Pelodiscus sinensis: one gene and its partners. The protein of the gene in region 2 binds, or shares a complex with, the protein of the main gene of each other region. Links are inferred from orthologs where the notes say so. Each region holds a gene or a part of one and is shown on either strand. Other genes may lie near its edges.

Region 1 (3,742 bases), on a different chromosome or scaffold from region 2:
CCAGGCCCCTTCGACCCCCCCGACCCCCTCCTCCTGCTGCCCCCGGGCCACTCCGACCCCCCCCGAACCCCTCCTCCTGCTGCCCCCGGGCCACTCCGACCCCCCCCGAACCCCTCCTCCCGCTGCCCCCGGGCCCTTCCGACCCCCCCGAACCCCTCCTCCCTCTGCCCCCGGGCCCCTCCGACCCCCCCCCGAACCCCTCCTCCCGCTGCCCCCGGGCCCCTCCGACCCCCCCCGAACCCCTCCTCCCGCTGCCCCCGGGCCCCTCCGACCCCCCCGAACCCCTCCTCCCGCTGCCCCCGGGCCCCTCCGACCCCCCCCAAACCCCTCCTCCCGCTGCCCCCGGGCCCTTCCGACCCCCCTGAACTCCTCCTCCCGCTGCCCCCGGGCCACTCCGACCCCCCCCGAACCCCTCCTCCTGCTGCCCCCGGGCCCCTCCGACCCCCCCCCGAACCCCTCCTCCTGCTGCCCCCGGGCCCCTCTGACCCCCCCGAATCCCCCCTCCCGCTGCCCCCGGGCCCCTCCGACCCCCCCGAACCCCTCCTCCTGCTGCCCCCGGGCCCCTCCGACCCCCCCCGAACCCCTCCTCCCGCTGCCCCCGGGCCACTCCGACCCCCCCCGAATCCCCCCTCCCGCTGCCCCCGGGCCACTCCGACCCCCCCGAACCCCTCCTCCTGCTGCCCCCGGGCCACTCCGACCCCCCCCCGACCCCCTCCTCCTGCTGCTCCCGAGCCCCTCCGACCCCCCCCCGAATCCCCCCTCCCGCTGCCCCCGGGCCCCTCCGACCCCACCGAACCCCTCCTCCTGCTGCCCCCGGGCCACTCCGACCCCCCCCCGACCCCCTCCTCCTGCTGCTCCCGGGCCCCTCCGACCCCCCCGAACCCCTCCTCCCGCTGCCCCCGGGCCCCCCCGACCCCCCCCGAACCCCTCCTCCCGCTGCCCCCGGGCCCCTCCGACCCCCCCCGAACCCCTCCTCCCGCTGCCCCCGGGCCCCTCCGACCCCCCCCGAACCCCTCCTCCCGCTGCCCCCGGGCCCCCCCGACCCCCCCCGAACCCCTCCTCCCGCTGCCCCCGGGCCCCTCCGACCCCCCCCGAACCCCTCCTCCCGCTGCCCCCGGGCCCCTCCGACCCCCCCCGAACCCCTCCTCCTGCTGCCCCCGGGCCCCCCCGACCCCCCCGAACCCCTCCTCCTGCTGCCCCCGGGCCCCCCCGACCCCCCCCGAACCCCTCCTCCTGCTGCCCCCGGGCCCCCCCGACCCCCCCCGAACCCCTCCTCCCGCTGCCCCCGGGCCCCTCCGACCCCCCCCGAACCCCTCCTCCCGCTGCCCCCGGGCCCCTCCGACCCCCCCCGAACCCCTCCTCCCGCTGCCCCCGGGCCCCCCCGACCCCCCCCGAACCCCTCCTCCCGCTGCCCCCGGGCCCCTCCGACCCCCCCCGAACCCCTCCTCCCGCTGCCCCCGGGCCCCTCCGACCCCCCCCGAACCCCTCCTCCCGCTGCCCCCGGGCCCCCCCGACCCCCCCCGAACCCCTCCTCCCGCTGCCCCCGGGCCCCTCCGACCCCCCCCGAACCCCTCCTCCCGCTGCCCCCGGGCCCCTCCGACCCCCCCCGAACCCCTCCTCCTGCTGCCCCCGGGCCCCCCCGACCCCCCCGAACCCCTCCTCCTGCTGCCCCCGGGCCCCCCCGACCCCCCCCGAACCCCTCCTCCTGCTGCCCCCGGGCCCCCCCGACCCCCCCCGAACCCCTCCTCCCGCTGCCCCCGGGCCCCTCCGACCCCCCCCGAACCCCTCCTCCCGCTGCCCCCGGGCCCCTCCGACCCCCCCCGAACCCCTCCTCCCGCTGCCCCCGGGCCCCCCCGACCCCCCCCGAACCCCTCCTCCCGCTGCCCCCGGGCCCCTCCGACCCCCCCCGAACCCCTCCTCCCGCTGCCCCCGGGCCCCTCCGACCCCCCCCGAACCCCTCCTCCCGCTGCCCCCGGGCCCCTCCGACCCCCCCCGAACCCCTCCTCCTGCTGCCCCCGGGCCCCCCCGACCCCCCCGAACCCCTCCTCCTGCTGCCCCCGGGCCCCCCCGACCCCCCCCGAACCCCTCCTCCCGCTGCCCCCGGGCCCCCCGACCCCCCCGAACCCCTCCTCCCGCTGCCCCCGGGCCCCCCCGACCCCCCCCGAACCCCTCCTCCCGCTGCCCCCGGGCCCCCCCGACCCCCCCCGAACCCCTCCTCCTGCTGCCCCCGGGCCCCCCCGACCCCCCCGAACCCCTCCTCCCGCTGCCCCCGGGCCCCCCCGACCCCCCCCGAACCCCTCCTCCCGCTGCCCCCGGGCCCCTCCGACCCCCCCCGAACCCCTCCTCCTGCTGCCCCCGGGCCCCCCCGACCCCCCCCGAACCCCTCCTCCTGCTGCCCCCGGGCCCCTCCGACCCCCCCCGAACCCCTCCTCCTGCTGCCCCCGGGCCCCCCCGACCCCCCCCGAACCCCTCCTCCTGCTGCCCCCGGGCCCCCCCGACCCCCCCCCTCCTGCTGCCCCCGGGCCCCCCCGACCCCCCAGCCCTCACCATGGCTGCTGGGGCGCGGGCTCAGAGTCACCGCGTCTCTTGGCAACCGCCGGGCAAGTCTCGCGAGAGCTCCTGCCCATAGCAACGCGCGTCACCGCCCTGGCAACCGCCGGCAGCGCTACTCTAGGCCCTGAGCGCCGCTGGGCCGCTGGCCCCGCCCACCCCTGGCTCCGCCCCTGCCCGGGCGTCCCGCGGTGCAGCCCGTCTGCCCCCTCCCGGCCGCGTGCGGAACACGTCGCTCCACGTGCGCATGGGCAGCGCCAGGAGCAGCGGCCCAGCTGGGGCGGCCCCGCTCACGGGGGACGCTGGTGCCCGGCTCCCCGGCTCCAGGGGGAGGGGAAGGCCCCGTGGCCCGTCAGCCTTGCACCCGGCACGTTGGCCAAGCCCGAGTCTTCTCGGCATCCACTCGTGTGCTTTGCCCCTGGCCACACACCCCCAGGCTGCCATGCTCCGAGCGCCAGCCACAGCTTCCGTGGAGCAGGGCGCTCCAGCTGTGGCCTGCCTGGTGTGCCCCCCGTCCCCTGCTGCGCTGCAGTATCCCCCCACTCACCGTGCACAGCAAGCTGTGTGTGAGGCCCAGGGCTTCCTTGGCTCTTGCCAGCTGTGCCCCTCTGCTCCCCGGAGCACCACAAAGATGCACAGATGCTGAGGATGGGACTGATCAGGAAAATCACTCAGCCTTTGTACATGTTAGGGGGACAGGCCGAGGGCCCTCCAAACTCCGGGCCCTGTGGACTCACTGGGTCTCTTAGGGCTTCACTCTAGCTAGGGGCCTATACCAAGTTCCCAGATCTGCTCCCCAGATGTCCGTGAGGCATATTAAGGCTATAAGCATCTACTCAGGTGCATCACAGCCATGGGAGAAGCAGCTGGAGTCCAGCCTGCACTGTGCAGTGAGCCATCAGGCCAGGATGATCTAACAGCAGACTCCTCAGTCGGGGGAGGCAGAGGTGAATGGAACAGCTGGATTGTCAGGTCCCAGGGGGAGTTTGCAGTTAATTGACTTCCTCTTGACTTCAAAAGGGAACAGTGTGGGTCTGGAGATCATGGTGCGAACACATAACAACCCAAGATGCCAGTGCACAGGCATCTTTCTGGTGTAACCTTCACCCGATTCAGGGGATCCTGGTCTCAGTGCAGGGAGAGGCAGCATGCACTTTTGTGTGGCACTACACCCAAAAGCTGTCCATTAGTG
Region 2 (3,742 bases):
GTCATTTGCATATTCTCTACTGATGCTTTTTGCGCAAGAGGCTTTTGCACAAAAACAAGCAGTGTAGAAGGTCCGTTTTTTGCAAAAAAGCCCCTTTTGCACAAGTTCCTTATACCTCCTTTTTTGAAGTATAATGATCTTGCGCAAAAGGTTTTTTTTAATCACGTGATTAAAAAATGTAATAGCAATTAATCGCATAATTAATCATGTGCAATTCCCCTTTGAAACACCCTGGCGGTGTTTCAACGAGGCAGCGCTGCATGGAGCCCAGGATCAGCTGAAGTTCCCAGCTGACCCTGGGCTCCATGCAGTACTGCTCCTTGGAAGCGCCACCATGGCATTTCAAAAGGGCAGCACAAGGCTTTAAAGGGGCAGTGCATTAGGTACGCCAGCGGATTCCCCAGCTCTGCTTGCGCTGCTCCTTTGAAGAGGCAGTGCAGCATTAACGTCTGCGATTAACGCTTTAATTTTTTTAACGCGTTAAACCTGTCCTGTGGTAACCGCAGGCATTAACACAGGTCAATTGACAGCTCTAAATTATACTCCTACAACCGTACTATGGTACTGAGGCTTGGAGCAAGGTGCAGCATACAGTCCGTCCGTCCCCATCCCCTGCCATGCTTCTACCTCATGGCTGCAAGAACATGTTGCTGTTTCCAGGGAGTCACACAGAGCCAAGTAGGGAATAGGGATATAAAATCCCATATAAAGTTAATCAGATAAACATGTTTAACGAGATAACTGGGATCCCACGGTAGGGGGCCTGCCCAGGCAGGAGTGGCCCCCTACCTGTGTCACAGTAGACCCAGACAGAGGGTTGCTCCAACACATCTGAGCGCCCTGCACCATGGACTGTTCTGGCCAGGTCAGGTCCACACCGCACCACAGGCAGAGGGCTGCTCTGGTTGGGCCAAGCCTAGTGTACAGGGGCTGTGAAGCTGCTCCAGCCAGGCCAGGCCGCTGGTTAACCGGTTACCAAAAAGCATCACACATAAGACTGATGCTTGCTGGTTAACCGGGTACATCCCTATTGTGGAGGTTCTATAGTATGCATGTTGGGTGTGGCCTGTGGAGGACAAGCCCAAGAAGGTACAAGATTTAAAACCTCTGCTTTAGGGGACAGAGGGAAGGAGCAGCAGAAACGCTTATGCCTTTCCATCAATGAACCACTGTACAAGAAGCCACAAGCACCCTCTGGCATGGGACAGAAAACCGAGATAGTCAAACACAAGACTAATAGAACAGGATACCATACTCAAAGAGGCTCTGGGAGACAGACCCATAGTCTCCTATAGACAACCACCTAACCTCAAGAGGATTCTTACCAACCACCACAGGACATACCACACTAATACCAACCCTGGTACCTTCCCTTGCAACAAACCCCGTTGCCAGCTTTGTCCACATATTCATTCTGCTGATACCATTATTGGACCTAACCAAGTGAGTTATAAGATCAAGAACACATATTCCTGCGCATCCAGAAATATAATCTATGCTATCATGTGCCGAAAGTGTCCGTCTGCTATGTACATTGGACAAACATCTCAGACACTTCGCCAAAGGATTAATGCCCACAAAACAGATATCAGACAAGATCACAAAGAGAAAACAGTTTCTTGCCATTTTAACCAGAAAGGACACTCTCTCAATGACTTAACCACCTGCATTCTGCTACAAAGACCTTTTACATCTGCACTTGAAAGGGAATCCTCTGAACTGTCATTCATGTTAAAATTCGACACTTGCCAACAAGGACTTAACAAACATTTGAACTATCTCACCCATTACCAAGACAGTTTCCCCAATTATCACCTGTAATACCATTAACTCACAAACATCCCACTCTCCCTACCTCTAATATCATCAATTCACAGACACTTGCCTTCCTTCCTCCCCCCCCCCCCCGAATCCCCCTCCTGTCCTGCAATGTGATTTGTCCTTTTCATATTTGTTCTTTTTTTTTAATTGTATCCTTTGGTATATATGGTTGTGACTACTTTCTTCCACTATTTGATCTGAGGAAGTGGGTCTGGCCCACGAAAGCTCATCATCTAATAAACCATCTTGTTAGTCTTTAAAGTGCTACATTGTCCTGCATTTTGCTTCAACTACCCCAGACTAACACGGCTACATTTCTATCACTATTCTACAAGACGAATAGGCCTCGTCCACAGAGATTTGTGGAATGTGTAAGAATTGCTGTTCTTGAGCGTGTTTTTCAACCAGACTAGCTATAAAGAATCATCCCCTCCCGCCGAGGTAATTATACGGGCGCACTAGACCCACTGAAGTCAATGGGCGGAACAGCAAGAGATCCCACTGACTTAGCGGGCCCAGCATGGCAGCTTGGGGGAGGTGAAAAGGGGCCAGCCGCGCCTGGGCTTGCGCTCGTGGCGGGAACTTACTGTTCCAGGGCTCACAGGCGAGCTCGTCTCTTCCCGCCCACGCCGCAAGCCGCACACTCAGGGAGGTGGCGCCCAGGCGTCAGTCACACCCTGGGCCGGGCTGGGGGGGGGGGGGGGGGGGTTGGTGCTAACACGGACTCAGCCCCGCGTGGGTCGCAGCGCCGTTGCGAGCCCGGCTCCCTCCGCCCGCAGCTCAGCCGGGAGCTGGTGCGCCCAGGCGGGGCCTTTTACCTCGTAGACGTCGAGGAGGCTGTGGCGCTTGAAATAAGCCCTGAGTCCGGGGTCCGCGTCGCGCAGGGAGGACATGGCGGAGCCGGGCCTCTGGCGCTTCAGACCCAGCGCGGCGCTCCCAGTCGCCTAGCAACCCGAGGCCACAAGCCGCTCGCCCTCATTGGGCGCCTCAGCTCAGAGTGCGGAGGGGCTTTGGGGGAGGGGAGTGTCGCGTGCCGTCCCATCCCAACTTTGCACCACCCCCTGCACCGCCTCACCCCCCAAGTTCCACGCAGCCCCCTCCAACTCTGTACTGCCCTGCCCACCAGCCCCTGCTGCACCTATTGCCCTGGCCTCCAACCTTTTTGCACCCAAGATCACGTTTTAACTGTTAGGGCAAGCCAAGATCTACCCCAAGAGCCCCCCCCTTCCTCGAGTCCCCGCCCTCTCTGTTCCCCCTCCTTTATCACTTGCTGGCCACAGCCCTTGCTCACTCTCATTGGATTGAGACAGGAGGTGCGGGCTCTGGGGTGGGAATGAGGGATTTGGGTGTGAGAAGGGGTGAGAGGTGCAAGCTCTTGGAGGGAAATTAGGTGCAGGAGGAGGTGGAGAAGGGGATGCTGGCTCAGGGAGGGGGATCCAGGCTGGAGAGTGTTGGGGTCAGGTGGAGGGTTGAGGTGCTGAGCCAGCCACTGGCTTGTGGATGTGGGGTGCAGGAGTTTGGGTTGGGGTGTATGAGAGGCTCAGGGCAGAGGAGGTGTATGAGGGGCTCAGGGTTGGTGTGTGGGAGGGGTGCTATGATGTTGTGATGCTGTGGCCAGATAGGAGATTGTTGGCCAGGCTTCATTTTTAAATAAAATATGTCCAACACAAAAGGTTTCAACATTGTCTTTATTTATGGGAAGGGAGGGGAACCTTTTTGGGTCGGGGTAGGCCAGTGACCCAGAGAAAAAGCAGGGACCGTACAAGTGAGATGCAAAAAAACAACGCCTCCAAAAACCCTCAACCTCACTGATGTAGCCCCAACTGAGACACCTCACTCCCCTGGCATCCAGCCCCATGTGGGGAGGGAGGAGAGAAGGTAGGTCTGAGGTTCAAGGCCTCAGGCCAGATTAACTCTTCTG
Region 3 (3,742 bases), on a different chromosome or scaffold from region 2:
TGGGGGAAGGAGGCACGACTTCAGCCCACTCTAAAGAGGGCCTGGAGGGGAAGGGAGAAAGTGGCTTGGCGCTGAGGAAGTCCCAGATGGGGGGCAAATCCCCAGCTCACCCCTTTCACTTGCCTGGTAATTCTGTTTCTTTTCTATATGGTTTTATGAGAAGGCACATTCCATTTTCCTGGCACAATCAAACCCTTACCTTGCTTTTAGTCAGTAGTTCCCAATCTTTTTTATACTGTGGACCAGCAAACCCATTCACAAACTTTAGGCAGACTGTTAACATTTTATTTGCTTCCTTCTGCCACCGTCTCAGCCCAGTGCCGCAGCCAGCAGCAAGATCGGCCACACAGGTGGTGAGGGGGAGGCCAAGCCACCAACTTATCTGGGTGGGAGCGGGAGGAAGGCTCCTGCTACCACTTCTGTCACAGTGCAAAAATCAGTCTCTATGGGTGCTGGAGATAGTTGAGCCTCTGCAAACAGCCAGCTTCAGCTCTGGCAGCTGCTGTAGCCCAGCAGCCAGCACCGTGGACTGGCTGTTGGGAACCGCTGCTTTACGTTATGATAAGAGAAGGCTGTACACTGTATTTGGTAGCCCTAACTCTGTTTTGGAAAAGTTCTTGAACAAATAGACAGACATATTCTCTCAACTATATTGTAGATATAACTATTTCTAATTCAGAATGTGTATTAAGAAATATTTTAGTGACTTCCACTTTGAGAGGCAACAAACAGAATATAGTTTAGTTTACTGGCCTTTCCTACAATGACCTAGGTCTCTAGTTTGAAATGTTTAGTCTTACCACCACTGTACCTCATCATCTCGACTCTGGATTGCCATTGCAAGTTCTGCCTCTAATGCTGCAATAGTTTCACTGTTTTTCTTTTCCTGGAGGGAGATTTCTTCCATGAATTGAATCTTTTCTTGTTCTTCTAAGGGACTAGTCAGGAGTTTCTCAAATAAGAAACCCCGGAATTCTGACAACCTTTTGAGAAACATTTCAGATGATAAATCCCTAGCATAAGCCTCGTCTTTCACAGCTTGAGAAGCTATAGGGTCAGCCTGAAAGAGTCTCAGAATATTTCTTATAGAGCTTTTTACAGCTTGTTGATGCAATTGAAGACGGCGGTCAGTTCCTACAAGGTCCCCTCTTCCATCATCCTGCTTCAGGAAACCTTCTCTTTGAAGCTGGGTAAGTAAAGCTTCCATGTTGTTTGAAAGCCGCTCATGCTCCTTAAGGGTACCTATGAGCTCAGATCCCAGGATAGTGCTTAAATCACCCACACATTCAGTAATGTGAGAGATCAGACTGATCAGTTCTATCTTAAAGATGGTCTCATCCAAAACAGATATGATCCTCTTTGTCTCAACAGTGGTAAGTTTTGAACGAGCTGGATCCAAAAGCTTTAGTGGACTTGGTTTCATCACTGACTTTCTTGGAGTCTGACTGTATCCCATGGAGGGCCTGGTGGTTGATTCAGTTGCCTCATATGGCAACTGGAGCACGATAGCCACCTCTGTTGCCATATTCTCAGTCAAATATTTAAAAGTTCTAAGATGAAAGGGAGCAAAAATCTTCTATATGAATACAGTCACAGAGGACATCTTAATACACGTAGATTTAGATTCCCCTGCTGTTTTGCTGCATGCTCTTCTTTCACAACATTTACCTGAAAAAAAAAAGTTTGATTTTAGCATTAGCATCATGATATACCTTGGCCAAAATTGAGAATGTAAAATTATATGGGGTCTGTCTCTAAGTTTAAAAGCACATTCAGAATATTGGGTCCTTATGCCTATGACAGCCCACCCTCCTGTGCTGGAGGTGAAACTAATTCTAGTGGTTAGCCTCCAGTGCCTGAGACAGCTAATGAGCTGTTTGTTTCCTATGCTGAAAAGTGGAAGGAAAACTCTCCAGCCCTTGTGAGACTAGACTGAGATGGGGCAGGGATGCCCTGCTTTGGGGGGGAAGAGGGCTGGTTGCTCAGTCCCGTTGGAGGCTCCTAGGTCTCTGTGGCGGTGGGTTGAACAGGGGCTGGTCTATCAGAGCAGGTGGCCAGGTTGGTAAGGATGGGGGGGGGGGAGGTGGCCTGAGCGTGGGAATAGGGGAGCAAGCTCCCCGGTCTCCCTGGGTGGGCATGGGGGCAGGAGGCTGCCGGGGGTGCGGGCGAGGTCCCCCAACTCTCTTCACTTGCTCACACCACCGCCGCCGCCTCCCTTCCGGTCCTCTTCCAGCGTGTCTCTGTTGCTAGGTTACCCCTCGCTCACCTTTAACCCCAAACAAAGGAGGCGGGGATAGGTCCTGACTGATTTGCCCCCTCCCTCCATAGCCAATCGCCGCCCTTGTTCGGTAAGTTTAGCCCAGCCCCTTCCTTCTCCGTTGGAGGGCGGAGTCAGGGCAGAGACTTCGAGCCTTCTGTCCAATCCGAAACGGAAAATTTAGCCCTTCCTTTGATGGGCAAGACCAGAGTCCAATGGAAGGACAGAATGAAAGACACCCGGATGCCCCCCTTCCATGAGCCGCTGTTGCTAAAGAACGGAAGTAGGGCCGATTGGTCGGTCTCAGGCATGGGGCGGAGTCCTGAGGGAGACGGCCAATAGGCGGGGTGTGGACAATCGACGGCTGACTGAGGCGAGTTGTTGCAGCGACGGCGGGTTCGGGTCTGCTGTTGGTGCGGCCGGCGGGGGTCGCGCGGGCGGAGTGGAGAGTCCACGCGCACAGTGTGCCGAGGGGCGGGGCCGCTGCACGAGGAGCAGCCGGGGCCGGTGCGTGTCCCTGCGACCCTCCTGGGCAGAGAGCGAAGCTGAACCCCCCGGTGCGAGCGGGTCCCGGGGCCTTGCCCTGGCCCGGCGGCTGTCTGGCCCCGCCTCCCTGGGACTTGCCCCGCCTTCCCCGCGCAGGGCGAGGGGCCTGACTGGCGCCCCCCCGGTATCCGTAGGGCTCAGGAGTGCGGGTTTCGTGTGAGGCTCCTCCCCCCCGCCCCCGCGCTCCGCCCCCCGGGCAGGCTCCTCCCCCCCGCGCTCCGCCCCCCGGGCAGGCTCCTTTCCCCCCCCGCCCCCCCCGCGCTCCGCCCCCCCGGGCAGGCTCCTTCCCCCCCCCGCCCCCCCCCGCGCTCCGCCCCCCCGGGCAGGCTCCTCCCCCCCCGCCCCCGCGCTCCGCCCCCCCGGGCAGGCTCCTTCCCCCCCGCCCCCTCGCTCCGCCCCCCCGGGCAGGCTCCTTCCCCCCCCCCGCCCCCCCCGCGCTCCGCCCCCCCCGGGCAGGCTCCTTTCCCCCCCCCCCCCCGCGCTCCGCCCCCCCGGGCAGGCTCCTTTCCCCCCCCCCCGCGCTCCGCCCCCCCGGGCAGGCTCCTTTCCCCCCCCCCGCGCTCCGCCCCCCCGGGCAGGCTCCTTCCCCCCCCCCCAAATCTATCCCCAGGGCAGGCACTTTGAAAGAGAAACCATAGTGCTGGGTTTGAGGCCATGTGAGCCAGTGGTGCTTCGCTTCTCGCCTTCAGGCTAAGATCAGCCAACTGTATGCTAGGGACCTGCGCCTGCCTCTCTGGGGGTACTCCAGCACCCCTCAGGCGGGGGGGAGGTGCGGCTGAGGGGTGGCGGGATGCAGAGTGATGTGGTGGTGTCACCTTGTTGTCCCTCAGGAAAAATATATGTGGAGAGAGATGCGGCTTCTGCCTATTCTTTATTAACAAACATTGAGAAATGTACCCAGGACTATTTCTGTCCTAAATTAAACCATGAGTGGTGTAG

What was found. The genes of interacting proteins can lie anywhere in the genome.
Region 1: FBXL13 (region 2) and DRC4 share a complex: the UniProt entries of both Homo sapiens proteins name them as parts of the nexin-dynein regulatory complex. The link is inferred for Pelodiscus sinensis from reciprocal best matches to the Homo sapiens genes FBXL13 and DRC4.
Region 3: FBXL13 (region 2) and DRC10 share a complex: the UniProt entries of both Homo sapiens proteins name them as parts of the nexin-dynein regulatory complex. The link is inferred for Pelodiscus sinensis from reciprocal best matches to the Homo sapiens genes FBXL13 and DRC10.

Annotation. Positions count from the first base shown.
Region 1 is NC_134722.1:2,207,257-2,210,998, forward strand, and holds the start of DRC4 (dynein regulatory complex subunit 4), read right to left. Parts: upstream 2,621-3,742; 5' UTR 2,551-2,620; coding exon 2,548-2,550; intron 1-2,547. UniProt on the Homo sapiens protein: Component of the nexin-dynein regulatory complex (N-DRC), a key regulator of ciliary/flagellar motility which maintains the alignment and integrity of the distal axoneme and regulates microtubule sliding in motile axonemes.
Region 2 is NC_134711.1:23,449,109-23,452,850, forward strand, and holds the start of FBXL13 (F-box and leucine-rich repeat protein 13), read right to left. Parts: upstream 3,011-3,742; 5' UTR 2,715-3,010; coding exon 2,640-2,714; intron 1-2,639. UniProt on the Homo sapiens protein: Substrate-recognition component of the SCF (SKP1-CUL1-F-box protein)-type E3 ubiquitin ligase complex.
Region 3 is NC_134725.1:14,340,963-14,344,704, reverse strand, and holds the start of DRC10 (dynein regulatory complex protein 10), read right to left. Parts: upstream 2,601-3,742; 5' UTR 2,267-2,600; intron 2,248-2,266; exon of another isoform or gene 2,190-2,247; intron 2,138-2,189; exon of another isoform or gene 1,809-2,137; intron 1,669-1,808; 5' UTR 1,526-1,668; coding exon 812-1,525; intron 1-811. UniProt on the Homo sapiens protein: Component of the nexin-dynein regulatory complex (N-DRC), a key regulator of ciliary/flagellar motility which maintains the alignment and integrity of the distal axoneme and regulates microtubule sliding in motile axonemes.